Xenopus tropicalis: one gene and its partner. The protein of the gene in region 1 interacts with the protein of each later gene in a biochemical or structural test. Links are inferred from orthologs where the notes say so. Each region holds a gene or a part of one and is shown in the gene's direction. Other genes may lie near its edges. The genes, in order: efl1 and sbds.

Evidence for each region.
Region 2: the proteins of efl1 (region 1) and sbds interact in a biophysical measurement, tested with the Homo sapiens proteins (2 studies listed by BioGRID and IntAct, with this or other methods). The link is inferred for Xenopus tropicalis from reciprocal best matches to the Homo sapiens genes EFL1 and SBDS.

Annotation. Positions count from the first base shown.
Region 1 is NC_030679.2:106,111,388-106,126,629, forward strand, and holds part of efl1 (elongation factor-like GTPase 1), read left to right. Parts: intron 1-4,260; coding exon 4,261-4,408; intron 4,409-7,850; coding exon 7,851-8,854; intron 8,855-15,242. UniProt on the Homo sapiens protein: GTPase involved in the biogenesis of the 60S ribosomal subunit and translational activation of ribosomes.
Region 2 is NC_030678.2:98,227,086-98,243,091, reverse strand, and holds the start of sbds (ribosome maturation protein SBDS), read left to right. Parts: upstream 1-8,364; 5' UTR 8,365-8,453; coding exon 8,454-8,581; intron 8,582-10,412; coding exon 10,413-10,542; intron 10,543-12,046; coding exon 12,047-12,247; intron 12,248-13,166; coding exon 13,167-13,331; intron 13,332-15,644; coding exon 15,645-15,773; 3' UTR 15,774-16,006. UniProt on the Homo sapiens protein: Required for the assembly of mature ribosomes and ribosome biogenesis.

The DNA of each region.
Region 1 (15,242 bases):
TAGAGTAACCAACATGAAAGAGAGTCTGCAGACTCTTTTATCAGAAGGCTGTAAGAGCTGACAAAATATGTCAGTGTCATTTTAGGCCTCAAAAGGATATGCACATAGATGTTGGGTATTGAGATTTGAGAGAGCTGGATATCCGCAAAGTTTTAGATGCAGAACGATTTAACCATGACTTAAGTGAAGAGGAGTGAAACTGCTGTGGTTATATACAGTACTATACTATGAAAGGTCAAATTACTGTGGGGAGCCCCCAATTAGTGATTCTACTTACTGGTTAGCCAGTGCTGTGCCACCATCTTCTGGTGTCCACATCAGGTTTGGGCAAGCATGTATCATAGAACTATTTTCGAAATATCTGTGCATTCTCTGGAGTGATGAATCGCACATGCTTCCACATTTGGCCCTTTCATGGACAATTCTGTGTTTGGCAGATGCCAGGAGAACACTGCCTTCCTAAATGTGTAACGATGCGTAACAATTCTGTGTTTTTGCTTTGTGGCAACTATTTGGGGAAGGTCTTTCCTGTTTCACAAAATAAAGTCCATACAGAATGGGTTTGCAAAGCTTGGAGAGTAAGAACTTGACTGGCCTGCACAGAGCCCCAGCCATCAACCCAGCTGAACACTTGTTGGATAATTTGGAACTCTGACTCTGAGCCCGGCCTGATCTACATCATCAGTGTTCATTCTAATAATGATTGTGTCCTGAACGAAAGCAAATACTGCCAGAAATGTCCCAGAATTTGGTGCAAAGCCTTCCCTAAGGTGTAAGAGTAGGAAGGAGAAGACCAATCATATACTAATACCATTAGTTTTGGAATGGAAAAGGCAGGTGCTCAGATACCCTTATCTATATAGTGTAGTTCAAATACTATATATAATCAGCCTCCCTAAAGTTTGTATTACTTTTGTTTTACTTAAATGCAAACAAGATTTCTGGCATTTTAGCTAAAAATTATTAGGGGAACTCAAACGCAACTTAAGCTTTTGAAAAGTTAACATAATTTCTAGCAACTTTGCAATATACAACAATTTAAAAAATGCAGCCTTTTCATGATTTGTGTTGTAATAATATGGTTTTAAACAGTTACCTAAGCCTGGCCCCCTGTTATCCTGCTGATCTGGCTGACTACTTAAAGGACATGTAAACCCCCCACACAAAAATTGAATCAGTGAACAGCCTCTTTAAAATCTTTCAATACCTGCCACTCTGGTTGTTCAGAGGTTAATAGTAAGGCTGTGACATCTCCTTAATCACTTGGATTTGCTTCTCCTCCTGTAACCCACTCGCACCCCTCCCTCAGGAATTTGCTTTGGCTGTTGGCTTGTGGGCATGCTCAGTTGTTCTAAGCTCACATTACTAAACACACCCCCAGTATAGCAGCCAGTGAAGAGATGCCATTGCTGGTTCCCATAGAAACTCAGCTCTAGCTGTCTGCTTCAATTTTTTTTCTCCTGAGCTCAGCTTTATCATTACAGTGCTCAAACAAAGCAGAACTTTTATCAGAGACAGTTGTGCCTGTGTGAGCCTCTTTATCCTTGATGAAATGTATGCTTAATAAGGGTCTGTGTGTGTATGCTGTTTGCAGATTTAAACGTAACTGATTATGTATCAGAGAAAAAATGGCCACCGGGTGAAAGCTGCTATTTGGTTTAGGAAAATGTGATGGTGCTGGCAAATGGAGGGGAAATATGCAGTACAAATTATGCCATTTGGGTGGGGGAGACGTGCCGAGCTGATATACATTGTAGGCAAATGTAGGCTTTACATGTCCTTTAAGGCTCAAAAAAATGTAACAGTAGTTGACCTCAGCCTGCCTTCAGCCTGCATCCTCCAGATCTCACAATCCCCTGCACACGTGATGTCGATAAGGACAGTGCAGTGCATTGTGGTTTATGTAGTTTCTGCCTGCTGTCTGTAAGCTGTAAAGTTGTTACAATTTGTAACATCAATGTTTTAGGCCCTCCTTCCCTTCCAGGATTTCAAATGATGCAGGAAGAGAAGAACTGTTTTGCAGCTGGATTTCAGCATATTAAAATGGTTTTCTGTAGATCAGCCTGAAACGCAGCTTTTCTCGGCACATTCCCTATATATTTAGAGGAGTATAATGCGCCAACGTCATCTTATTTTTTACACAGTATATCCCCTTTAAATCAAATGGGTTATTAAAATATTATAATAATTATTATAATAATATTATTATAATAATATTATAATAATAATTATTTATTTTATGTGAACATTATGATTGTACTTAGCACAATGTAATAATGCACTCATTAGAGTAGGTAAAGGCCTAGCACAAGCGCAATTTTATATACTGGATAAAGTGGTGGAACCTGAGTAGATTTTACTTTATTAAATAATGTTTCAAACACTAAATGTTTAATTTACACAGCTAAACATTTATGAATGTTTCTCCCTCCCACTCTTTTATCATCCCAAATCCTTTTATATGACTAATCTCCTTCCCTATGCTAGCCAGCCTCATGCTAACTCTTGTCAGTCTTTTCTCTACATTATTGATACTGTTAGGTGTTCAGCTCCTGTTTCTTTCTCCAAATCCACTTCAACCTCAGTTCCCCTTCAAGAGGGAATGCTATTAGTTTCTGGAGTGAATCTAATCCCGGGGCTACTTAATACCTGCTAAGTACTATTCACCATGGGCACATTCATGCCAGCTGCTTCCACTTCCAATTACTTGCTGGCTTGCTCTAAATTCTAAACAAGGTGTTTTTGTGCTCACAATGGAGTGGAAGAGAAAGTGGAAACATATCTGATCCAAAACAGTTAAATGAATGAAAGCTGAAAATGTAAAATCTGTTTAATATACTGTAGTTGTCAAGCAAAGAGAATGTACACCTTATTGGATTAATATAAGTAAGTGATGATGTATGGAAGACCCATGGGTGGGTTGTGACTCTCGTCATGCTCGTTAAACATATTTGCATGACACCATCACTTTAATATAATTGTCCCATGAACATGCAGTATGAGAAATAATCAACCCAATACATGTACAAAGCTGAACAGCATAGATGTAAGGCAACTGACCTTATTGTCTGTGGTAGTGTTATTATGTGTTACAGGTATAGAATCCGGAAACCCGTCCAAAAATGTCCGAATTATGGGAAGGTCATCTCCCCATTATAATAAAATAATTCAAAGTTTTAAAACATATTTCCTTTTTCTTTGTGATAAAAATCAGTACCTTGTACTTGATCCCAACTAAGGTATAATTAATCCTTATTGGAGGCAAAACAATCCTATTGGGTTTATTTAAGGTCTAAAATATTTTTTAGTAGATTTAAGGTATAAAGATCCAAATTACAGAAAGACCCCTTATCCAAAAAACTCCAGGTCCCGAGCATTCTGGATAACTGGTCCCATAACTGTATTATGTGTTATACTGGTGTTATGTTATGTTCAAGTCAAAAGGGTTGAGGAGACCGCCTGATACGTATGCAAATAAGTCAAAGGGATTCTGGGAACAAATTCCTTTAGGCTCCTAGAAAAATCCCATTAACATGGGTTTATCCTATAAGCTAACGCTCACCCACTGGGTTTTTAAAGCAAAAGCCAGGATAATAGCTGATCAGATTCCCAACTACAAACTGGTTTTGCCCTTCTTGGGGCTCATCAGTGTAGCGCAGGGTTTTCTGATCAGCTTAGGTAGAGCCAGGAGTGGGGATTCACAAAGAAGTCAAAAGAGTTGAGGAGACCGCCTCATACATATGCAATTAAGTCTTTATGTGTTAGGTCTTATTGTATGTGTTAGTGTCTAAAGGTCTCCAGATTCACTAAAAGCATCTCGTTGCTATAGTGACAGTGCCATAGTGGTTTACATGCAAGACTGCACTGTGCCTGGGACACTCATGTGCCAACTGTATCTCACTCCTACTAAACACAGGCAGTGACATGTACAGAGCAAGGGGCAACTTTATGAGCTAAGTAATTACTAGTTATTGAATATTGACTGCAGTTTAGAAACAGCTGAATAGCAATTGGTGAAAGTTCCAGCACACTGAATAAGATGACATAAAAAGTTCTCTGTCTTGCACTGGCTGGGGCGATATATATATAAATATTTTATATACTGTATCTGTTGCCTGAGAAAGTTAGACTGGGTCATCCAAGCATCCAATTTAGAGCTCTATGGGACAAGGATTTTCTGAATAATGATATGTACTCCATATGAAATGTAATACATGATTAAACCCCCCCCCCCCCCCCACCATTATGTATTTTTTCTAGGTGAAATGCCCCAGCTGGTAAAAGGAATGAAGCTTTTAAACCAGGCTGACCCTTGCGTGGAGGTTTTAATACAAGAAACTGGAGAGCATGTCCTGATCACTGCTGGAGAAGTTCACCTACAGCGCTGCTTGGATGATTTAAGAGAGAGGTTGAAAAATACATATATTTCTGTAATCAGATAGTAACTGGCCTTGAATCCTCACTAATTTATGTTGGTTACTGTAATATTTTCCCTTTGCAGAGGGAGTTTTAGTTGGACATCACTGATAGAAATATGAAAAATACATATTGTTTATTAAACAATATCATTTGTCATTTTACCCAGGACAGTATTTAAGCCAGCCCCTCCCCAACACTAACCAAGCTTCCAAAGTGTCTGCGGATTCAGTTACAAAGGCCTAATTCCTTTTTGACAACACTTTTCCATTTAACACAGTTGCTTCTGATCATTCCTCTGCTATGCATACAAATTGTTAGCACGTGTTAGAGACTCCGAATTGCTTGCTAGCTATTTTAATTTGCTAGGGCAAAATAGATTTGTTACTGTTTTCTTCGGGTTAGGAGGGTCATGGTTTGGAATTCTGTTATGTCTTTGATTAACTGTTTTGCTTAATGACATCTATCTATCCATCTATATTCATTCATGTATATACTTTTAAACAATGGACTGTACTTATACAATGTTAGTAACTGTAGCTTCCATGTTGGCCACACAGTAAGGGGCAGATTTTTTTTATGTAGTGTAAAAAATGGGTCTCTACACATCATAATTTTTTTCTTCTGCCAGAACTTACGTGAAATAATGGCGGAAAATCTAATGTTCAGACTGCAAACTTCTCTGTTTATTTAGCACAGCTTTTAACACCGTTTTTCAGCGAATTTCATTTTACACAGCATAATAAATAGGCATTTTTAAGCCCCCCAACTCATTAGGAGGCTCTAGTTTAAACAAAGGCCTTTTCTACCACATCATTTATTAAATCTTATTGTAGTTTCATTATCACTCTGTTTTTGTGTTTACAATTACCTGCAAGAATAATTACTTTCCCAGGCTGCTAATAAATTAAATGAACATACTGTATTATAAGATGTCCAATTTAAAGAAAATGAATGTCTTCCTCACTTGCCAATAACTCAATTAAATCTGTCTAAACACACTTCCATATCTTCCTGCTACCCTAATTAGCCTAGAATTACTACAGAAAATATTAAGGGTCAATTTTCACGCCTCTTGTTGTGTTTGAATACGGTTACATTCTAAAAGCAGCCCATCACAATATTTCTTTCAAATAGTACTAGGCTTAGGAAACTAGTTGGGGCATGTTCCAAAATGCACATTTTGTTTCCCATTTAGAATTTAGTGCATTAGCTGGTCACTGCTTCATAACTAGCAGTTTAGCTTTTAGTTCATTTCACAGCCACTTTTGTTAGGAGCTAGACCACTTAAACTGATCTTAGTGAAATGTGATGCAGCACCAAGTGTAACCAACCTCATCCATCAGTCTGAAACAGGAGTGTCAGGTTCCTTTCCTCAAAGGCATAGCAGGTGCTGGGAATATTCCTTGTGCAGGGGGAGATTATTTCCTGAAATTTCACTCTGTTTTGGTTCTTTAAGAATGCAACTTGAAAGTTTAAAGTAAGGCTGACCATCCCGATATTGGCACAGATGTTTGCAAATTGTGCAGTCATTTGGCCTTTTGCAGTAAGATTTCCATTTGCTAATAATGTTTGGGCTTTTTCCTACTTATATCCCATCCTTCTGTTCTCTTTGTGATGCTTAATGATTTAGAGATAAACCAGATCATACCTTTTCTAACTGTACAACCCTGTTTTCAAAAAAGTTAGGACACTCTGTAAAGTATAAATAGAGAATGGGATAATTTGCAGATAATTTAAACCCTATATTTAATTGCACTGAATACAAATACAACATATCAAATGTTGAAACTCAGGAATTTTATTGCTTTCTAAAAAATATGTGCTCATTTTGAATTTGATGTCAACAACACATTTCAAAAAAGGGCATGAAAAGACTGAAAATGTTATATAATAAAAAGAGCAAGTAAAGATGGGGAGGGGGACCCCACTCTGTGAAAGACTGCATGGACAAATATTTTAACAATTTAAGAATAATGTTCCTCAATGTTAAATTCTAAAGAATTCTGGGACTTCATCATCTACAGTACATACCGTATATACTCGAGTATAAGCCGATCCGAATATAAGCCGAGGGACCTAATTTTACCTAAGAAAACTGGAAAAACCTATTGACTCGAGTATAAGCCTAGGGGGGGAAATGCAGCAGCTTCTGCTAAGATTCAATAATCAAAATAAATATCAATAAAATCAGGATCTGTCAATCTTACTGAACAAATACAGTAGAAGTCACTAAAGTCTGTCCCATGAGACAATCTGTAGTGACCAGATCACTTTGTGCACTTTACTTCTAATATAGTCAGGCCCATCTTCTGGAGACCATCAATAGGAATGCTGAGAGATTCAAAAGAGACTGTATGCTTATAATGCACAGTGCCCTCTAAATAGGCCATGCAAAATAGCAAACCTAAATGAACCTTCACTATCAGCACCTCTGCATAGTGACATAGACAATATCTGATGTAATTCTATACAAGTATGTATATTATTAGTTTATACAAAAAGCAATTTATTCAACATAATTTTCTATGCGTGATAAAATCACTTGAAAGAATAATTTCTGTCTTTTAATTCTTTGCCCCGGGTTCTAAGAAATCAAAGCTCTGTATTTTAAATGGAGTAACCTAGCTGATAAAAGTATAAAACTTACTTTTTCAGTTTTTATACAAATAGTGCATGTTCCATAGATCCCAATGATCAAATGTACACCGTAGCTCTGCAAACCAGGATTGACATGTAGGGAGCGTGTGATGTCACGCTGGGGGGCGGAGCAAGGAGTCAGGAAGGTTAAAAGATTCAGAGAATCCTAACAAATCTCTGTGCACAAGAGACATAGACATGGTCTGTGTGCCCTCAGGTGGCACTGCATAAAAACAGATTCAATTCTGTAGTGGGAATCACTGCATGGGCTCAGGAATACTTCAGAATCCACACATGTAAGTTACAACTCCATGCAAAGAAGAAACCATATATAAACGTGATCCAGAAACACTGCCTCCTTTTTTGGGCCCAATTGGTCTCCTCAGTTCCCACATGTTACAGAGGGCTGTTAATAGGAGAAGTGATGCAACACAGCAGGAAACATGCCCATGTCCCAACTTTTTTAGAAACAAGCATATCATTTTCAGAAAATAACATTTCTCAGTTTCAGCATGTAATATGTTGTCTTTGTACTATTTGCAATTATATAGGGCAAATCATCCCATTCTCTTTTTATTTCTATTTTACACAGTGTCCCAGCTTTTTTGAAGAACAGAGTTGTAATAATGTATGCACTGCTAAAATATTGTGCTAGTAATTGTTTTGTCTTAGCAGTACATATATAAGTATTATTGCTACATTAAATTTCTGCTTGGTTGGAGTCACAATACTGTATGCTATGTCTAGCAAAGATATATTCTCACTCAGTTATTTTTCCTTTTCTGCCTGTTTAGGTTTGCTAAGATTCAGGTCAGTTCGTCTGCTCCTATAATACCGTTTAGAGAAACTATCATAAGGCCACCTAAAGTTGATATGGTGAATGAAGAGATTGGAAAGCAACAGAAGATTGCGGTCATACATCAAGTCAAAGAAGAGCAGAGCAAGTGTCCTGAAGGAGTCCAGGTTGACCCTGATGGCTTAGTCACCTTGACTACACCAAATAAGCTAGCTACACTGAGTGTCAGGGCCATGCCCCTTCCAGAAGAAGTGACGCAGCTTCTGGAAAAAAACAGTGATTTAATAAGAACAATGGAGCAAATAAATATGGCTTTAAATGAAGGTAGCTACACCATTCATTTTAATGAGTCAGCCATTGAAAGGATAACCGCATTCAAAAGTAATCTCCAGCAACTCCTGCAAGGAAGAAGGTGGAGGAATGCTGTGGACCAGATATGGTCCTTTGGCCCAAGACGTTATGGCCCAAATATCTTATTGAACCGAATTGAAGGTTATGACAGGCCATCAGTTTGGCAGTGCCTTGAAAAAAGTATTAGAGAGGGGAAATATAGAAATTTTGACAACAGCATTGTTAGTGGATTTCAGCTAGCAACTCTTGCTGGCCCCATGTGCGAGGAACCACTAATGGGTGTGTGCTTTATTGTGGAAAAGCTGGATCTGAGCAGGCCTTTGCTTGCTAAAGATAGTGCTAGCCAAGATTCAGAAGTGGATACCAGAACAGAGCCAGAACATAGTGAAACTGGGACAACTGGGACAACTGGGGCCTTAATCAATAATATCTCAACATCAGCCACTGAGGAAACAGAGTTAATTCCTGAAAATGGTGCAAGACCTTTCAGCAAACGAAAAGGTGACTTATTGACAGATTGCTATGGGCCTTTTTCTGGACAACTTATAGCCACTATGAAGGAAGCTTGTCGTTATGCATTCCAAGTTAAACCCCAGAGACTCATGGCTGCCATGTACACGTGTGAAATAATGGCAACTGCTGAAGTGTTAGGTGAGTAGGGATCCTGACTGAAATGTGAGTTGTTATGAACATATTGTCAGTGATACAGCTATGTGACAGGGTCTCTGTGTAATAACTGTAATCCCCCCTAAAAAATGGAATCATGGGGATGTGCAGCTTTTTCCTTTGAAGCAAGTTCTGATGATGGGTGCCTTACTGAGCAGATAAATCAGAATCACTTGAGGCATCAAGCTTATGTCAGGCCTTGTCACTGAGCTGTGTAGATCAGGCTAGGTTGACTGAAACCACTCCTAAAAACATACTAGATATAATTAAAAAACTTCTAAGTTTAGCATCCTTGACCCCAAGCAAATTTCTGCTTCAGGCTTTCCACTGCTATTAAATTAGACAGGTTTCACTGGGACAAAAGGTTGACAGAACTTGATGGATATATATTTTTTTAAGTCGTCTGCCAATACATGCTGCTGCATTTATAATAGTTATAATTATGTATCCCTCCATTCATATTTATGTTGCAAGCTTCAAACAGGTTATAAATTCATAAATGGGCTGAGTTTTTGTAATGGATGAGCAATGCCTGGTGCAGTATTACTGTAGGTAAGCCAATCAGTAATATCAGTTGTGTACCTGACAGCACACAATCTGTTGGGAGCATCCCGGTATTTCATTGAGTAAATCCAAAATTAAACAGAATTAACTATTAAATATACCTGTGGTGTTAGAGAAAAAAAAAGATTAACCCTTGGCCACCAACTACATAGTAAGCCTAGAGGCTTGGCATGCACTTTGACATTATGTGGGTCATTTACAAGATCCAGGGGAGCAAGGGGGACAAGAGCACACTCTTTTAGAGAGCACTTTTGCCCCAGCCTGTCACTACCTTCTCTGTGGACAGGACCCAACTGTGGCCTGCATTTGCTTACTTGAAAGTTACCAGGAGCAGCTTTTTGTCACTCCTGGTGACATTGGGGGTGCTGCCACCTTAGGTGAGTTTCTATCACTACCTTCTGCCTATGGGGAAGAGGGCCCCGCTGTGGCCTGCATTTGCTAACTTGAATGTTACCAGGAGCAGCTTTTTTTCACTCCTGGTGACATTGGGGGTGCTGCCACCTTAGGTGAGTTTCTGTCACTACCTTCTGCCCTCGGGGAAGAGGGCCCCACTGTGGCCTGCATTTGCTAACTTGAATGTTACTAGGAGCAGCTTTTTGTCACTCCTGGTGACATTGGGGGTGCTGCCACCTTAGGTGAGTTTCTGTCACTACCTTCTGCCTTCTGGGGACAGGGCCCCACTGTGGCCTGCATTTGCTAACTTGAAAGTTACCAGGAGCAGCTTTTTGTCCCTCCTGGTGACTTTGGGGGTGCTGCCACCTTAGGTGAGTTTCTCAACTTGCCTTATGGCAGCAGCACCCCTGCAGTTGGGGGTGGGGAGGGGGTTGCCTACTTGCGTCTCCCCACTCCAATTCCTCATGAGTATAAAAGGTACAAAATGCAGGCAAACACTGTATTCATGGAACATCTGCAGGTCTCTGTGCTCAGAAATGGACATTGTGAAATATGCAAACAGAAAAAACCATAGATTTGCGGGTTTGCAGAACAATTCCTAACATTATGTGTGTGAAGAATTTAACAAATACTCCTAAGTCCCTTTGTAGCCCATCATTTTTATGATGGGGGAAGGTTAAAACACAGGTTTCTGTTTCTGTCCTTTGCAGTGAAATCTCACCTCTATAAACAATAAATATGTATTCTGCCTTTATTTACAGACAAGCACTTAAAAAGGTTGTATTCTTATCTTTGTCATTTATAAATTGGCAAAGTCAGACATTTCAAAGGTGCCCTCCATCTAAATCACTTACTGATCAAACATTCAGCATGTAAATACCATACATGTCCAGTTTTAAAATGATGCAGTAGTAACGTCGTCTAGGGCTCAGCCTGTGGGCTCTAACGGGCTTTGTGCTAGTTTATAATGGCACTTACCAGTAAGCAAGTACTCCTGGCATTATGCACCCATTTCCAGTTAAGTCTATGTTCACTCCCCAACCCATGCTTATCAGCTGTATGCACTGGGAGGTACCGTTCAACCACAGCCGGATAGCTGCAGGTTTGACATGTCTGTTCTGTTATATAAAACACAGCCTTGATGCTTGATGCAGTGCTAATGAAATATGCAGACAAACTGAGAAAGCTGCTGTGTTACACTTAAAAAATCCTGTTCTTCCATTAAATCTTAATTGACCAAAAAGAAATATCTTTTTATCTTTTTTCAAGTGCAAAAGAAGCCATTCTGTTACATTACTGCATGGAAAATGCATTTTTCACTGTGAACTTAAAGGCCCAAGGCAAACACTCTTCATCAGCCTTTCTTTTAAATTCTTCCTTCTGAAAGCGCACTATCTGGCAGGCTCTGAGCTGTCTCTCCAAGGTTCACTTGGTAGATTGCAAACCTCAAAGTGCATGTCATTAAAATTCCCCAAAATATTCTTTATCTCATGATTTTGTAATGCATTCATCATAAGGAGTAACACAAACTGAAGATAAAGAATGTCTGGCTGGAGTATAAATATCCACTGGCGGCTCCCTTTTACTTAAAAACAATGATTTCATTCTCTTTATATTTATTTATTGTGCTTTTGAAGCAAATGCTGCCTTGTAACTAAAGTTAATTTAGGACACTCACTTAATCTAATGTTTAAGTAACAAGTGTAGGTCCTGCAAAAAAAGGCAAGCAAAAATTGCTTCTAAATCAGGGTAAAGGAATATGCTGTAGCTTTAAGGGTTAGAGAAGAATAATTTACAGGTGTTCGTACCACACTTTTGCCAAAATATGTAAGCTCGCTTTGTAGTAACAAATCAGTGATGGGACCTCATATACAGCTGCACTGAAAATTACTAAACAGTTATAACAATGGGTGCAGTATATTTGCTGTAGCACATACAAGCCAAACAATCTAGCTCACAAGCAGCTAGACGGCACAGTACCAAATGTGCTTATGGGAATGGGGATATTTTGGCAGACAAATGGTTGGAGCAGGAATCATTGCGGCTCAAGTCACACTATCAGTGGGAATGGCAGCGTGTCTGGCACACATGTGAGATAAATGGCACCTGACAGTCACAACTGTGTGATCTCTAGCTATACAGAGCCAAAAGCACGTGTTAAAATAAAATGCACCCTGGGAAGCAATTACCATAATATTGTTACATTTAATGTGAATTACAAAAACAAATTGCACAGAGGGTTACCTAATGTATATAATATTTGAAGAAAGCTAATTTTACCATGTTTTGGGCTCTACTTTACCCTTTTACCCACCTTATCAATCATAGGTGGTTTGCACAGGATTGCACTTTGGGCAGGTTCAGAAATGGATGATATTCTGGTTTAAAAAAAAAAAATAAAAATAACCATTCATATTGAGTTAAGGGTAAGTCTGTCTCTTTAAGGAGAATAAAGCTTAACCAAGAAGTAGGACATAAAGGCTATCCATTATGTTTCTTGCTTCTGTACCAGCCTTTAGCAGGGAAGATCTGTGCCTCCAAATATGCCCCAGTAGTTCCCGTGTGTAGTGCCGATTCACTGCATATGCTCTGTGCTGCTTTCAGTAACTGAGCGTAGGGACCGACGCACAATATACTGTATATATAGAATAGAAATGTCACAATATAAGGCTTAGTTATTAGATTAGTAATTTATTCATGTTCTAATAACAGGGCAGCTCTGAAACCAGTGAAATTAGCATCAGAATTTAATAATCAGCCCTGTAACATCAACATCTATGACAAACAAACCTGATTTTCTGCTTGATGATTTGCAGTGACCCCTAAGCTTAGCCTCTCAGAGCACACTGAGCGCATGAGAGTCACTGACACACAAAATACAAGATAACGACCCCCGTGTACAATGTTGAAGGCCTGGATCATTAGGGTTATAGGGATTCTGAAACTAAAGGCTAGTACAATAATTCAGTATATAAAGTTTGGCATTTCTACCTATGTCTGTAGGGGTTAGTTCTTCTTCAAAATGGTCTTGTTTAATGTGTTGTTCCTATATTAAATATCTTGCGTATGTCAGGACTCAAAACCTTTATTCCCATCTTTCCTCAGAATATTTATCCCTTTCAACTCCATTGTCTGGCACTTTTGGCTTTTTGGCTTAAGAATATTTATTAAAGGGGTCTTTCATAATGAAAGAAAATGTCATTCTAGGCAGCTTTCTAGTGTACAAAAAATTACATTTTCTCTGGGTCTGACTTCTTAGAATAATGTAATAGGAATTAGGTCTCCTCCAGGTCTTTTAATGGCATATAATCAGCTGGCTTGCAACATTGTTTTAGAAGTCAGAGCCAGGGGAGCAGAGGATATAAACATACAGACAAGCTGCTTTTAAATTGTTACATAACTGTAAAACCATTGGCCATTTAAATTAATGTATAATCTCAGAAATTTTTTAATTTTTTCACCTTTAAGAAACGGTAAATAATATAATTGTACCTATGTATGTAATGTATCTATAAATTAAATTTACAATGAAAAAGGCTGATAGGATTAAAGTACAGTTTAGTTCCATCCCATTGAGCAGGATGCCTCTCCACAATGTGTCCAGTAGATATAACATGAGCAACCGGCTTCTAAAAGAAATGGCAGGTACTTACGGGACTGCAAAATCAATTAAATCAATGTAGCACAAATGACTCTGACCTACTGATGTTGGTCTTATAGTTATGTGTTTGCACCAATTAAATCTGTATGTCTGGAGTACACTAGTATTTGTCTTTGTATCCATTAAACAGTGACAGCAGCAGTTTGGGTCCTAACATTATGTTAAAAGATAGTTAGGGGCAGGTTTATCAAAGTTTGAACTGGGGAGCCCAGAAGGTGTTAGTGCTCAGTACGTCTGTAAAATAATCTAAAGTTTAACACCTAAATGTTTAAACCCTAATGAAGTCATTCCAGCGTAGACAATAAATGTTTAAATATTAAATAATTGGTATTTTTCTGAGGAGTATAAAGTATCTATCATTGATAAATCAGGACTTTTGCCAGAGAAAACTTTCATCTCCTCTTTAAAAAAGCACAGTCCTTCACCATGGTATGCTCCAGGAGTACTGATGGGCAGGAGGTCCTATACCTTAGCCACACTAGAGATGAACTTGCATTGGATATTTTTGGGAGATGATTTATAGTTGAATCTCATGCTATAGCACCCTATGCCAGTCATGAACTGGACAAGCCAATCAAGCAGACTATAGCCCAGCAAATGAATAGAATAGTTAGGTTTGTTGTACACAAGCATTCACATAGTGCATAGCTAAGGGCAGTCTTATATGATTAATTAGTGCAAGTGGGTTTAAAGAGCCCTGCAGCCTAGCAGCCCTGCTTTTGTGCCTTGTGTTGCCAAAATATATCAGTCTGTATGGCAGAAATACAATACAACAAAATGCCATTATTGCAGAACTTACACAGACAGTTTAGGCCCTAAGCCGTAAGGAGAGGGATGTGTGTCTGTAAAATTCAGTGGGGCGGATTTATTAAGAGCACAAATGTAAGTTACATACACATAATGTATGCAACCAAAATAGTGAATGGAGGAAGAGACCAACACATGCTATGTTTATACTGTCTATGGCAATTGGAGATGGCTTTAGACAGGCCCAGATTTGTGTAAAGGTCACAAAGCCTGGGTGCAGGGCAGCAACATTTTAGGGGCAGCATGCTGCCTGGCTGCAGCCTAATTCAGTCTGAAGAACTGGGCATGCGTGGGAGATTTGATAATAAATCTCCCATGTGCCAATCCCCAGTGCTCTGGACATGAGGTAAAAAATAAAAATCCCTGTGCGTGTTTGCGTACGTTTAATGCTGGGAATAGGGTGGGACATTGGGGCTACAAGCAGGGGCGGAACAAGCCGACCGGGCACCCAACAATGATTTGTAAAAGGAATTTTATGGAGTCCTTGACCTGACTAAGGGGCCATATAAATCCATGGAAGGGTCATACCCGCAGCCCTCAAATTCAAGTGTCTGCCTTTGGATCACCAAGAAGTTCACCTGGACAATAATTGAACTTGATGAATATGCCTTTTTTATTACTTTATTTACAATATGTAATTATGTTTGAAGCTGCAGGATTAGGTTTAGCCTAGTGCCACATGGGGCTGATTCTCGTCCTGCAGAAAAACACATGCCGAGGATCAGACCCTACGTTGGCAGATATTGGCTGGAAATGGGAACTCCAGCGTTTTTTGGCTGATATCCATCACGTCTGTCTGCACCATGCTTCTCAGTGCAAGCAAGGTAGGAAGCTGGTGCCAGTGTAGGGGCTGAGTCTGAGACTGCATTTTTTTTGCAGGCCGAGGATCAGCCCCGTGTGGCACTAGCCTAAGCAAACATGTGAAGTTAAGAGACTGGCAGTTCTGGA
Region 2 (16,006 bases), on another chromosome or scaffold:
ACAAATTTTGTATGAATAGAGGAAAAATGCAAGACCGTTTTTACCCTACCCAGAAGGGGTCAACCAACTCCAACTACAAGCCTTCTAAAAGTTTCCTAAGTTACAAAGGAACCCAGGTTAACTTCAAAGCAACTGAAGGCCTGGCTCACATTGGCGAATCCTAATGTTCAGGAGTCCGCCATCAGGAGAACTCTGACCAGTAATGGTGTTGTTGGCAGGGTAGCAAGGAGAGAGTCACTGTACTCCTCCAAAAATATTGCTCACCATCTCTTCAGTTTGCCAAAAAAAGGATACTGGAAAAAAGTTTTATGGACGTATGAAGCCAGAATAGAACTATTTGGCTTAAATGAGGAGCATTACATTTGGAGAAAGAAAAACACTGCATTACAGCATAAGAACCTTATCCCATCTGTAAAAAATGGTGGTGGGAGTGTTCTGGTTTGGGCCTGTTTTGCTGCATCTGGGCCTAGGCATTTATATAAAAATATAGTTCACAAACTTTCAAGCACAACTGTATGTAGTAGCAAAATTGGGTGTTTTAAAAAGTAGCAGCAAAGTAGAACAACTATGGAACCATGTCTACCAAGATGTTTAAAATATGGATATTATAAGCCACGATGCACGCTGTGACTATAAAAAGGAACAGGAAGAAAAAGGAAGGATGAAGACAGAGCTTGTACAGAGAACATTCTAGAAACACATATCAACATAACAAAAAGTGAAAAAATAAACATACCGTGTTATAATGCGTGCTGTATACAGAGTTTCCGAGTCCAAATACAGCATATCTCATGCCTTTAAGATAGGTTTTTCCAAATCTAAAGTCATTGGAGGCCTCCTCAAGCCACTTACAGAACCATTCTGCACTTTCAGGCGGCTGTCCATCAGTGTAGGTGGCTACCAGAAACACACAAACGTTTTTACTGGTGGCCTAAAAAAAGAAAAAAAATATTACTCCAGTGTAGAATAGATTTGACTGTGAAAATACAACTAAATAAGAAGGTTATCAATTTCAATGTTAAAATGTCCTTCAGCTGTTCTTAGATTGTAAGCTCTTTTGTGAAAGTCCCTCTTTGCTCCTTTTTTAATGGCTGTTAATTATTGTATGTAATCTGTTTGTTCAGTGTATACCCCTATTAAATGTACAACACTGTTAAATATGTCTTGTTGGCTTATGTTTGGCATGGATATAGTTCATGGATCACTAGCCAGGTTATGAGCTAACCTAGTGGATTATCCCACTAGTGACAATCATTTGTGACCCTGGCTACAATTTTAAGGCCAAAGTGTATGTTCCATACATAACTTTCATATATATTTTCCCTGAAAATATTAAGACTTGTAACTCACACTTCATATGAACTGCATGTCACAAAGCTAGGAAATCAAAGTATACCTGTCATGTTAATGTAACAGAGCTGTTAAGAAACACTTTAACCGAACAATAGAATATTTTAGTAAAATGGACAAAGTCATACTTCTTCTATTAAGTTGTCATCTGGATCATATTCTTTCATGTTAATAATTTCCACTGGCAGCCCAAGAAGAGTGATTTCTCCATCCAGCATATGTGCAAAACCCTAAAGGTATAACATAAACAATTTAGTAAACATCAAGATTAAGGCCAAAGCACACACAACTTAAGAGCATTTTAGAATAAAGCAATAAACCCTACCTTGGCAGTGCCTGTTTGAGAGCCATAGAAAATTTTCACACCAGCAACATACACATCTTGCTCCTTAATAGATGGTGAATTGTAGCTTTTTAAGGTTTTTGTCTTCAGTGGCAGAGAACCATTGTGAACATTTTCATTCTTAGAAAACAAAAGTGTTAAACATTACCAGACAGATTGGGGAAACTAAACTTGTTGGCAATTATGAATAATATATGGTGCTGGTTTCACTTTGGGCTAAAATTGAATACTGTCTGCAAAAATTGCCCATTTATTGGAGCTCCCTATAGATCCTCTCAGGTCCTGGTCTGTGTTTTAAATGAAACACAGTCCCTGCCAGAAGCACAGCAGGAGGGGGATAGCCAATCACAGTCTTGCAGTCACACAGGCTAATCCATTGGCAATAAAATGACAAAATGCCATTCCTTCTCCTTTAAGGACAGATCTCCTAAATCAGTGCTGTCCAACTGGCGGCCCCCCTCTGTGTGGCCCCCCACCTGTCTGGCTGCTTTGATGGCTTACCTTTGAGTAAGCATTAAATGGTATCAGTACTGAGATTAACTGGCCCCCTGCATGGTTCTCACCTCAGATTCAGGCTGTAATCCCTCTGTATTGTTTAAAAATGCAATCCCCTGTGTTTTTCACACCTTTTAATGTCTGCATTGTTCACACCTCAGGCTCAGACTGTAATCACTCCCATTGTTCACTTCTTCACACCTCAGACATAGGTACTGTAGGCAGAGTATGGCACATACAGCCAGCATAGGGCAGGTAGAGTATGGCACACACAGGCAGCATAGGGCAGGCAGAGTTTGGCACATACAGCCAGCATAGGGCAGGTAGAGTATGGCACACACAGGCAGCATAGGTCAGGGAGGGTATGGCACACACAGGAAGGGTAGGCAGGCAGAGTATGGTGCACACAGTCAGGGTAGGCAGAGTATGGCACACACAGGCAGGGTAGGGCAGGCAAAGTATGGCACACAGAGGCAGCATAGGGAAGACAGAGTATGGCACACACAGGCAGAGTATGGCACACAGACAGCATAGGACAGGCAGTGTGCTGCCTGTGTGTGCCATACTCTGCTTGCCCTATGCTGCTTGTGGGAGGTGAACCTGGCAGGGGTTTGTTGTGGGAGTTTGTTAGCAGTTGGAAATTGCCATTAAATGGTCCCAAAGGTGTGTAATTATGTACTGGGGGTTGCTCTGCTATCCACAGGGGAGGAGGAGGCATATGGAATTTAAGGGTATATCTTAATATGACATAATTCTTTCACATATGAATGATGGTTGATATCCCCACAGTAAGGACCAAGCATTTGGGATTTTGCTGTGCTACCACCATTGTGATAAAATAGGTGTGGTTTGAAGTGGGTGTGGTTTCAAAAAGGGGAGTGGTCAAAACTGGCTTCCATTAGCGGCCCTCCACCATGTATGCTAGAGAAATTCCGGCCCTCGGCACCGTAGAAGTTGGACAGCACTGTCCTAAATGATACTGCATTGGGTTTGTTCAGTACATTAATTTAGGCTAAGACTTATGAAACACAAGGCTTTTTGTGACATGTTTTGCCCTTAAAGAATTTGCAGAGAAATAACAATAAAAGCTAGGAATTTTCTTAAATTGGTTTGTTCATAGTTAATAGGAATCACTATGTATGTTAATTTCACGCAAGCAACTGCAGTAGGAACACTATTATTCATAGTTTGCATAGACCAAGGCTGGCTTAATTTAATGGACTTTTTTTTTTTACTTCAGATTTAGATTAATAGAACCTAGGGGTTTTTGTTGCTCTCTTTCCCCCTCAAATCTTTCCCGCCTAATCAATAGGACATGCAAGCCTTTTAGCACAAAATTTATTTTATACATTTACTAAAATAAATTAACCTTTAGTGATTGTATAAGAATTTGCAGTTCTGCTTCATTTTTTAAAAATGCATGCAATGTAAACATAATTGGTTGATAGGGTCACAATCATTCTGGCAATCAGTGATGTAAATAAAGGATAAATAAGTGACTGCTTTCTAGTTGCTAAGTGCCATTAGCCCAGGCAATCAGACAAATTACAGGCATAACAGAGAGCCATATGATTACAACACAGAAGGCAGAAAATTCAACTGTAATTAAAGTAAAAAAATTTAAATAAACGTAGTTCGAAATGATCCACAAAGCTTAAAATTTTTTTCAAAGGGAATTGGTATTAATTGATATTAAGGGACAGTTTAATCTTGTGACAATCATAATGGGGAGTTGTAAAATGTTAAGTCTTCCATGGTCGTAAGATACTCCAATTTCATAATTTGTTCTCCAGACCTTGAATTCTTAAACCAAGGCAGAAGTTTTTAAAATGATGTACAAGATATCTTAAAAATAACACAATAACTAAATGACAAAAAGTTGTCAATGCTGCCAACAAATCACATTTTATAATTACCTGCTGCTTTTTTCTAGCTGTGATAAAATGGCTGCAGAACCAAACAGTGATACCAATAGCAGCACATGAGTATATGTAAAACCTGTTCAGCCACAAAAACATCAGATGTGTATAGGCAAAATCCCATGCGTTTGTAGACATATCTTAAAAAGACAAAAAAAAAAAAAAAGACATAGTAAACAATGTATCAACGTGCTGTATGAAATGCAAAGAAAAACCTAATGAACAACCAGATTATTTTTGTTAAAGGATTCTAGTTTTTATTGCCAAATTACACTGTGTACATTGGAAATAATTCATTCTACTATTTAAAATTGTATTCTTGAACCAACAAATGTATTTTTTGTTGTAACACTGGGTGTGTAAGCATTTAATGTTCCATTGTACCATTATTTACAAGTGCATACAGAATGTTTTTATGTATATACAGTGCTGCTTGAAAGTTTTTGAACCCTTTTAAAGGGGACCTGTCACCCTAAGAAATAATTCCAGATTGTTTTCAATTGTGTTTGTCAAGCAAAGTAAACTGCACTTACACCATATAAATTAGTTTAATCTTATTTTCTTCATCCTTGGAATTCACAGGAATTGCAGCAAGCAGGCAGGCACCATTTTGTGGACACTGTTATTAAGGGAAGCTTTACATCCTGTCAAAATCTTATTTCTGTGGCAATATGGGGGGACCTGGTGCCCATGTCCATGCACTGGTTACAAAATTACATTGTGAGAAGGGAGGGGGAATGTGAGGAGTGCAGCAACATCCTAAGAAGTTCTGAATTGAAAGTGAAAGTAACTGCCAGTCCCACCTCTATGCCTAAGGCATAGAGGCGGGGCAGGCAAAATATGATTGACAGTTGGGATTTTTAAATGCTTTTATAACGGGTATGGATGTGTTAATAAAAAAATGAGTTTGGGGTTCATAATGAATTTGAAAGGGGCTTTTATTATACAGATTTTTATGCCTAGGTGACAGGTCCACTTTAAATTTTCTATATTTTTATATGCATGTGACCTAAAACATCATCCGATTTTCAAACAAGTCCTAAAAGTAGATGAAGAAAACCTAGTTAAACAAATGAAACAAAAATATGATGCCTTAAATGTGTCTTTGATGGTCAACCACTTCTGGGTAGGGCAACAACGGTCTTCTCCATTTGTACACAATCAGACTGTTGACTGACAAAGTCCAAATTCTTTAGAGATAGTCTTGCAAACTTTTCCAGTTTTATGGGCATCAACAACTTTTTTTCCAAGGTCTTCAGACACCTCCTTTGCTGGAGCAATGATACACATCCACAAATGTGTTATATGTGTGATCAGGATTTCTGGATCCCCGTTGTTTAAATAAAAGAAGTCTCTCACTGGGTCTCAACATGGTCTCTTACCCCGCCTTACAAACCACTAATGTTTTCTTCAACCCTGAGTTTCTTTGTAACCTTAATCTGCCTAAGGGCTCTGGCACACGGGGAGATCAGTTGCCCGCGACAAATCTCCCCGAGTTGCCATCAGTTGTTATCCCACCGGCGACAATGTAAGTCGCCGGTGGGATGGCACATGCGGCGGCGCGATTTCGGCAAATTGCCGAAAATGCCTTGCGAGGCAACTTCAGTGATTTGGCGAAATCGCCTGCGCAGCATGTGCCATACCACCAGCGACTTACATTGTCGCCGGTGGGATGGCAATTCGAGGAGATTAGTCGCCTGCGAACAGGGAGATTTGTCGCAGGCGACTAATCTCCCCGTGTGCCAGAGCCCTTAATGGCAGATGTGCTGTTTCACTATTATCAGCAGGGTTAAATGTCTGGTGCGTGGAAAATTAAGGTTTTATTCTTTTTCTTCATTTCCTTGGCATAAAATTAGGGCTATGCTAGAAACTATAATTTTTGAATAGCTCAGGGGGTGGCATCAAATTGTTCCCACTGGCTGTTATAATGGTCACATTTCCAAAACAGAAAAACATTTTTGGGCAATTTGGCACAACAAATCTACTAAAAAAAATTTCAGGTGTCAAGCCAAAGCATCTACTATTGTCATGTGCCTTTGGTCTTACTGGCAGGACACAGGCCCCAGTATCTTCCTTCTTTTATCCCAAGTATGTTTTCATAGTGGGTAAGAGTTAGCATACACATACTTTAAATATTTAGCACTTTAGGCACCACACAGTGCCATACAATGTAGAATTTATGATCCCCACAGACCTGTTTACTTTGCTTACTAAGCCTCTCCCGGTTCCACCATCTTGGGCTACATGACAGCATATAGGATCTAATTGCCAACCAGCTTCTCCTTCCTGCACCCAGGAAAGTGAAATACACTTTATTTTGGTAGGTGGGCTGACTTATACACAGAAAACATGGTTTGACAAGTGTACTCAGACACATTTTAAAAATAAAAATACTGGATACAGTATTTTTTTCCAAAAAAATGTTCAAATGGCAATTTTGACTAGCTGGGACACTAAATACACTGCAGGGCCACCCTAGCACCACCTTAGATAAACTGCTCCATCACTCGTAACACGCTCCCAACCACCACATGCACAACTTGTGCACTTAGGGGTTGATTCACTAAAGTGCGATAACGCTTATCGCATGCTTTTTTGCATTAAAAAGCATGCGATAAATAACGCCCGATTCGTCAAAGTAATTTTGCACACGTTAGATCACGCGCTACTGCAATGCATTATTTTTCCTGCATTGCGTTAATTCGCACGTAGAAATAATCCTAACGCATGATTCACAAATACATATGAAGCGTTAAATGAGCTAAATATTGCATAAGTCTGTGCGAAGATTAACACCTACTTGGGGCAGGCGGTACTTAAAGAAAATTGTGGTTCGTGAGCTTTTGGCAACACAACATGGACTTTGCACTGGGATTTTTTCAAGTATGTGTTGGCCCTAGACTGATGCAGCCTCCAGTTTTCAGGGAAATGGTCATTTTCAGAACAGTAGTTTTCCGAAAGTAATGGTTACGTGCGTAAAATCACATGCTAATATAGCAAGCGCCGAAATACATCATGCGCAGCAGAAAATAACGCAAGAAAAAATGCTCATCGTGCATTAAGTCCCAAAATATAAGAAGCGATAAAATTTTTACCGCATGCTATAAAAATAGCGCTCGTTTTAACGCACTTTAGTGAATCAACCCCTTAGTAACTATTTTTTGGAAAAAATGTTGAAGAGGCTCAAGGCACAAGTCAGTATGATATGGCACCACAGAGCAGACCCTGTGGTCTGGCCCCACCTCTCCAATGGAACCCTGGTCACAAAGTCACTGTATGGTAACTACACCACTACTTAAACAATTTTACCACATTCAATAAGCAGGAGGTTTTTTATTTTCTTGTACTTGAAACGTCATTCATCAAAGTTTGTATGCACTATTTTTGTTTTGAGCCAGCTACATGCCACAATATGTTCGCAAGACCCGTTGCATTCAGATTTATGATTTGTAATAAGGATATGTGGCAGATAATATGCAGAACATTTAAAGTATTCAGTCAATTTTCATAAATTTGAAAAAACAATTATGACCTTTTTAGCCTCACAACCTAAAGTGTGCTTATATCTGGTGTGGTGATTTTAAATCTTTAAATACAAGTCAATTCTACACATAAACCGTATTGGAAATTAGAAGTCATGGGGTTTTCCAAATCAGTTGTATTATTCAAGTATACAATAACATTCTGACATTTCTCTTTCTGACATTTCTCTTGATTATTCAAAACTCTTGTTACTACAGGAGTGGAAGTACACAAAATCTGTCATTTTTAGGAATCGTAGGTTGTGCTAAAAACAGTGTACTTTTTAGTAAAAGTACTTCTTCCCCTCAGCTGACGACTTTTAACAAGATGCCCAAACTACGACACCGGGAGGCCTCAGCTATATTCGTACTCACCCGTATCAACTTGTTGTGCGGCCACAAAAGCTGCTTGTGGGAGAATTCCCAAAATCAGAGTCTGTGTCATTCTAAAAGAAACGACGGAAGGCACGTAAGATCCTGTCACAACATGCAGTAGTTTACACGGTCACAGACACACACTCATGCCTCGCTGGGGGCAGCCATATTTGTTTCTTAAGTGTCATGCCTTATACACTGTTTTTCCTTGCCGTAGTACCAAACGAACTTTATTGACAATGTTTAGAAGCAACAACTTGCTGCCAAGCTCAGAGTGCGCACAGACCCTGATAAGCACTTCCGCTAAGGGAAACATTCTCTGCGCATGTGCAACTCCTGCTGCGCCAGAAACTAGCGTGTGGGAAAACTGAAATTTTGTTTGTGCGTTTTCAGTACTTTGTTACATTTGTCTGAAAACAGCTTTCGTGGGGTGAGACGTTTACAGGCAAAATGTCCATCTTTACCCCAACCAACCAGATTCGCCTTACCAATGTCGCTGTGGTGCGCATGAAGAAAGGAGGAAAGCGATTTGAGATTGCCTGCTACAAAAACAAAGTCATGAGCTGGAGAAGTGGGGCGTGAGTATTTATTACCTGCTTGTGTTACAGCGGTAAATGTTACTTGGACTGATTTGAGGGAGAGCTTGCTATAGTTTCTGCCTGCCTGGCAGATGCCTACGGTTTGTCATGGTGTGTTGTGGTTTAGGTTAAGAGGCTTGACTTTGTACTTTTATATTTGGCTTTTACATTTAGAATATTTGCTTAACTGCAACATTATAAATTAAAAGGTTTCTGAGCCTTCTTTTTTATGGCTTTCATAACATTGTCTTTGCATGCTATTTATAATTTTACCTTAAAGAAGGAAAGGCTTGGGGTGCCAAAATATTAGGCACCCCCAAGTGACTTTAATCGCTTACCTTGTACCCCAAGCTGGTACCCCTGTTAGGAGAAAACCGCAGTAGAGCGAAAAGCTGACTTTTTTGTTAAAGTTCGGCTTTTCACTCTACTGCGCATGCGCAAGCGCGCAAAGAAGGAAGAGGAGACCACGCTCACAGCTACCCCGGGCTGGTGCGGTTTTCTCCTAACAGGGGCACCAGCCCGGGCTAAAAGGTAGGCGATTAAAGCCACTTGGGGGTGCCTAACATTTTGGCACCCCCAAGTGACTTAGCCTTTTTTTCTCCTTTAAAAGTCTCTGCCAAATGCTTTTTTATTCCATACCTGATCCCCCATGTTTCTCTATGAGGAGGCTGTCATATTTGTGCAGCAGAAGTCCATTAGCATTAGAAGCTATAAAGGTCCCCATACACTGGCTGATTGTAGCTGCCGATATCGGTCCCTTGGACCGATTCAGCAGCTTATTGGCCCATGTAGGGGCAGAAACGAGGGGCCTGGCCGACCGATATCTGTTCTGAAATTGGCCAGATATCGATCGGCCAGGTTAGAAAATTCAATCGGATCAGGGACCGCATCGGCTCGTTGATGCGGCCCCCGAACCGACTGCCCCATTGCCGCCGTTAGAATTTGATCGTTTGGCCCCTGGGCCAAACGATCGAATTCACCTACATGTTACCCGATATCAACCACCCGTAGGTTGTTGCCAAGCGAGCGGATCTGCCTGTGTATAGGCAGCTTAATGTTTTTTTAGTTATTTCATTTTCAATTCAAAGGCTCTCCAGTTTGAAATTTCAGCATTTATTTGGTTGCTAGGGTCCAAGTTACTTTAGCAACCAGGAAGTGGTTTGGATGAGAGACTGTTACATAGGAGAGGGCCTGAATAGAAAAGAAAGTTACAAAAAGTAACACAGAGCAATAGTTTTTTGGCTTTGGGGGTCAGTGACCGCCATTTAAAAAGTTGGAAGAAGAATGCAAATAATTCTAAAACTATAACAAATAAATTATGAAGACCAATTGAAAAGTTGCTTAGAATAGGTTATTCTATAACACTAAAAATTAGCTTAAAGGTGACTTACCCCTTTAATGTTTTGAAGAGTGTTTTTTTAGTGTCAGTATCACTTAAGCAATTTGTACTAAATGTTAGTCCATGATGTTATTACAGTGTAAGCCATTAAATACAAAGCAGCTCTCTGCAACATTTGCCCCACTTCTCACTGAGGTGTGCACTGGTAGGAGGGAAGGGGATGTAGAGCTGTTGTACATGATAAAGAATAAAGTAATAGAACAAGCAGGAAACAATACAATTACAGTGTATATTAATGATTAAGTGCTGATTATTAAGATACAAGAGAAAGGAGGTTCCCTTCCCCATTAAGTGGGTGGGTAACTTACAGACAAAAATAAAAGGCTTTATCACTTTAAAGGACAAGTTTTTGTCTGAAGCCCTAACCATATGAAAAAGGGTAGAGGAGTTTTATGAATACTCGAAGCTTACATGTATATTATTTGTTTGCAGTGAAAAAGATCTTGATGAAGTATTGCAAACCCACTCTGTATTTATGAATGTATCTAAAGGCCAAGTAGCTAAAAAAGAAGATCTTCTCAAATCATTTGGCACTGAAGACCCGACAGAAATCTGTAAGCAGGTTAGTAAAATTAGTGAAGAAAATAAATTATGATTAGTAGTAAAGTCTATAACTGTATTTTTATCTGCTCATAAATTTATAATGATCAAAATTCGATTCCACTTGCCTGTGTCATAGATGTTCCTTTCCCTGGACTCTTTAATTGCAGTTTATAGCTGAGTTATCTAATATGGTCTTATACATTTAAGATTTGTTACAGACTGAATAGCTCTGAGTGGGTTTGTTGGTGTTCTACTCCACTGGATTTAATACTGATGTCCATTGTAGACTTCATCCTGTGTTGCACTTTACCCTCATGGTGCTGACTGTGCATTCAAACTGACTGATATCCATCTACAGAATATGAAGGCTGTTGAGTCATGGCCCAAATTGTTGGCACCCCAGACATTTTTCCAGAAAATCAAGTATTTCTCACAGAAAAGTATTGCAGTAACACATGTTTTGCAATACACATGTTAATTCCCTTTTTGGGTGTATTGGAACAGAACAGAACAGAAAAGGGAGTAAAAAAGCAAATTGGACATAATGTCATACAAAACTCCAAAAATGGGCTGGACAAAATTATTGGCACCCTTAACTTAATATTTGGTTGCACACCCTTTGGAAAAAATACCTGAAATCAGTCGCTTCCTATAACCATCAATAAGCTTCTTACACCTCTCACCGGGAATTTCGGACCACTCTTCCTTTGCAAACTGCTCCAGGTCTCTCTTATTGGAAGGGCACCTTTTCCCGACAGCAATTTTAAGATCTCTCCACAGATGTTCAATGGGATTTAGATCTGGACTCATTGCTGGCCACTTCAGGACTCTCCAGCTTCTTGCTTTTTTATATCTCTGTGTCAGCAGTGGGGTCCTCCTGGGTCTCCTGCCATAGCGTTTCATTTAAATGTCGATTGATAGTTTGCGCTGACACTGATGCTCCCTGAGTCTGCAGGACAGCTTGAATTTCTTTGGAACTTGTTTGGGGCTGCTTATCCACCATCTGGGCTATCCTGTGTTGCAACCTTTCATCAATTTTTCTCGTCCATCCACGCCCAGGAAGATTAGCTACAGTGCCATGGGTTGCAAACTTCTTGATAATGTTGCGCACTGTGGACAAAGGCAAATCTAGATCTCTGGAGATGGACTTGTAACCTTGAGATTGTTGATATTTTTCCACAATTTTGGTTCTCAAGTCCTCAGTCCTCAGTTCTTTGTTCCTCGTTCTGTTGTCCATGCTTAGTGTGGCACACAAGGACACACAGTGCAAAGACTAAGTGAACTTCTCTCCTTTTTGTCTGCTTTCAGGTGTGATTTTTATATTGCCCACACCTGTTACTTGCCCCAGGTGAGTTTAACAATCTTATTTATCCACAATTTTGAAAGGGTGCCAATAATTTTGTCCAGCCCATTTTGGTAGTTTTGTGTGACATTACGTCCAATTTGCTTTTTTTCCCTCCCTTTTTTTTTGTTTTGTGATTATAAAAAATATCTTTAATGCATATATTTTTATTTTTTTTTAGATTTTATCTAAAGGAGAACTTCAAGTTTCAGAAAAAGAGCGGAGCACGCAATTAGAACAGATGTTTCGAGATATTGCAACAATTGTGGCTGACAAATGTGTAAATCCAGAGACAAAGAGGCCTTACACTGTTAACCTTATTGAACGAGCAATGAAAGATATTCACTACTCGGTGAAAGCAACCAAGAGCACCAAGCAACAGGTAAAAATATTTACTACTGGTAATCCTTCGGAGATCTCGGTAGTTTTGAAATTATTAGAAGAAGAACACAAATTATCTATGTAAAAATTGTGATATCTTTTATTCATGCATCCTGAATGGAAAAGTATTATCAAAATAAAATTCTTAGAAAGAGAGAGGGGAAGAAGTTATTGTCGTTTTAAAGTTTATAAATATTGTATTTCTGTTAAAGACAATGTTACCTTCATTTAACACCAAGTAAGCAAAGTCTTGGGTGAAAATAATTGATTACAGGTGCTATGTTGCTTAGTAAATGTGTGCTCCATAGATGTCAGAGGAACACTATCACTGTTATTTAGTAAGGTTTGATTTAGTTAGGGATTGTTTCTATAATTAGTACACAGTACAGTGAAACCTCAATTTTACATACCCTGATCTTTAGTTTTTCCTCATTTAACACAATTTTTTATGGTCCTGCCAATATGAAATGCATAATTTATTTTCCTGACAATTTTTTTCCCTTTTTTGGTCCCCCGAAAAACTTAAAATGGGAGTTCTACTTTAATGTGCAATATACCACCATGCTCAGCATGAGCCTTATAAATAAAGCTTGTATTAAAAATGTGTTCTGCCTGCTATTTAATCCTATTAGTGCCAAATTAGTCCAGGACCTTACAACCTATGTCTCTGGCAGTAACCCGCAACAAACAACTAGCAAAAAAAATAGCACGGAGAAGGGAATGAAGAAGTGATTGTACTCGCTTACATTATAACCTGGGTTGGTGCTCCTGTTAGGAGAAAATCGCACCAGCCCCGGGGTAGCTGCAAACAAGCGATCCTCTTCCTACATTTTTTTATATATATTATAAACACAGTGCATGTTTTCTCATGACAGTATAACTTTAATAGTATTATTTTGATGGTTATGTGTACACTGCAGGCATTAGATGTTATCAAGCAGCTGAAAGAAACAATGCAGATTGAACGTGCCCACATGAGACTGCGATTCATTTTACCAGCTAAGGATGGAAAGAAATTGAAAGAGAAACTGAAGCCTTTAATAAAGCACACAGAGAGTGAGAACTTTGATCAAGAGCTGGAAATTGTAAGTAACATTTTCTTTTAAATATTTGGAATATATCTCTTTACTGATATGCTAATCTTAAAAACAGTTATACAATAAAAGCATGCCTAAAGTAATTTGGGGAATGAGATGACAGATTTGCAGATGAAAATCATATGTCTATAAGGTGGAGTAAAGAGAAGTGACATTGTAAGCTTAAAGCATGGAAGACATCACAGAAGTTATTATGCACAATTATTGTTGCAAAGCAATGATTTGAATTACCTCTTCTAGAAGGGATTTAGCTTTTTAATAGGACATGCCTTTTGACATGTCATTTTGCCACCAGCTTATAGACCATGTTATGACCCACTCTCTCTTACATGTACCCCAGTGCTGTCCAACTGGCGGCCCGCGACCCCCCTCTGTGTGGCCCCCCACCTGTCTGGCTGCTTTGATGGCTTACTCTTGTGTAAGCTTTAAATGGTATCAGTACTGAGATTAAATGGCCCCCTGCATGGTTCTCACCTTAGATTCAGGCTGTAATCAGGCTGTATTGTTTAAATATGTAATCCCCTGTGTTGTTCACACCTTTTAATCTCTGCATTGTTCACCCCCTGCAGTGTTCACACCTCAGGCTCAGGCTGTAATCACCCATATTGTTCCCCTGTTCACACCTCAGGAGCAGTAGAAACCCACAAATAATCCCTGCATACTACAAAAAGAACATATACTGAGGTGGTACTTCAATTAAAAAGTTTTTTAATATATAGTTATTGTGCAGACTGTAGGAGCAGTGCCAGCATTGTGTCACTGTAGGCTGCCTGTGTGTGCCATACACACAGTCATCATAGGGCAAGCAGAGTATGGCACACACAGGCAGGGTAGGGAAGGCAGAGTATGGCACACACAGGCAGAGTATGGCACACACAGGCAGAGTATGGCACACACAGGCAGAGTATGGCACACACAGGCAGAGTATGGCACACACAGGCAGAGTATGGCACACACAGGCAGGGTATGGCACACACAGGCAGGGTATGGCACACACAGGCAGGGTATGGCACACCACACACAGGCAGGGTATGGCACACACAGGCAGGGTATGGCACACACAGGCAGGGTATGGCACACACAGGCAGGGTATGGCACACACAGGCAGGGTAGGGCACACACAGGCAGGGTAGGGCACACACAGGCAGGGTAGGGCACACACAGGCAGGGTAGGGCACACACAGGCAGGGTAGGGCACACACAGGCAGGGTAGGGCACACACCGGCCGGGTAGGGCACACACCGGCCGGGTAGGGCACACACCGGCCGGGTAGGGCACACACCGGCCGGGTAGGGCACACACCGGCCGGGTAGGGCACACACCGGCCGGGTAGGGCACACACCGGCCGGGTAGGGCACACACCGGCCGGGTAGGGCAGGCAGAGTAGGGCACACACCGGCCGGGTAGGGCAGGCAGAGTAGGGCACACACCGGCCGGGTAGGGCAGGCAGAGTAGGGCAGGTTTTTGCTGTACTACAACCATTAATATGGGTACGGTCATGTGATAACATGGGTGTGGTTTCAAGTGGGTGCGGTTTCAAAAAGGGGAGTGGTCAAAACTGGCTTCCATTATCGGCCCTCCACCACGTAGGTCGGAAAAATTCCGGCCCTCGGTACAACAGAAGTTGGACAGCACTGATGTACCCTATCATCTGCTGTAAAAGCACTATATAAATGATACGGTTACCCTCATACTTTCTGCCATTGTCCTGTAAGTTTTAGGATTAGGGGAAAACTCATCTGAGAGGTCAGAACTTTTTTCTTTCTACTTTCCAAACAGAGTTGGAAGGGCATCTTGGGGCAATCCTACGACACGATTATCTTACTAATAGCAAGGCCTGCAGAAAACTCAGTAGTTGCTAAATGCTGTCCTTAATCTATACATCAAAAACAATAGTTTGGAGAGAGTCTTCCACATTATAAAAATGTTTGAGTGCTAAAAAATGCCTAGTGAACGGCTAAAAAAAGGAATCCTCACTTTAAAATTTTATTAGTCAGTGATTGAAAAGCATAGATCCAGAAACGATCATAGTCTTATGCATGCTTTACGCATATTTTATGCTTTCCAGCAAATAATCATGTATATTATTTAGAACTAGAAAGCATGAAACACATAATTATCTTTTCTGGGTCATATCTGGGCTTTTTAATTTTTATTCTGCACAACAATAAATGTGCATACCAACAGCATTAAGAAATCCTCAATTTTTTTTTATAAGGATTCTCTGTTGACAAAAATAGATTTCTGTTTATTACCATTTCTTCATCTTATAATTTATTTGCTTTTTATACTACATTTTAGGTTTGCTTAATTGATCCTGGCTGCTTCAGAGAAATTGATGAGTTAATACGCTGTGAGACTAAGGGAAAAGGCACTCTTGAAGTTCTCAGTCTGAAAGATGTAGAAGAAGGTGATGAGAAGTTTGAGTGAAGACCAACGCACTTGCTTTAGCGTCCTCAAAGTTATTAAATAACAACTAAACTGAATATTTCTAGAAATGTTATATGTTATATTTTAAACTTACTGTGCCAGCCCAGAAGTTCCGCAGCCCAAGCACAGAGTATGTGCTGTAAATCAGCAGCAAAAACTAGGGATCTACAGGGAATATCTTCATATCATTACAGACACAGTCCTGTAATGACTTTTGGCTGGTACAGAAGCCC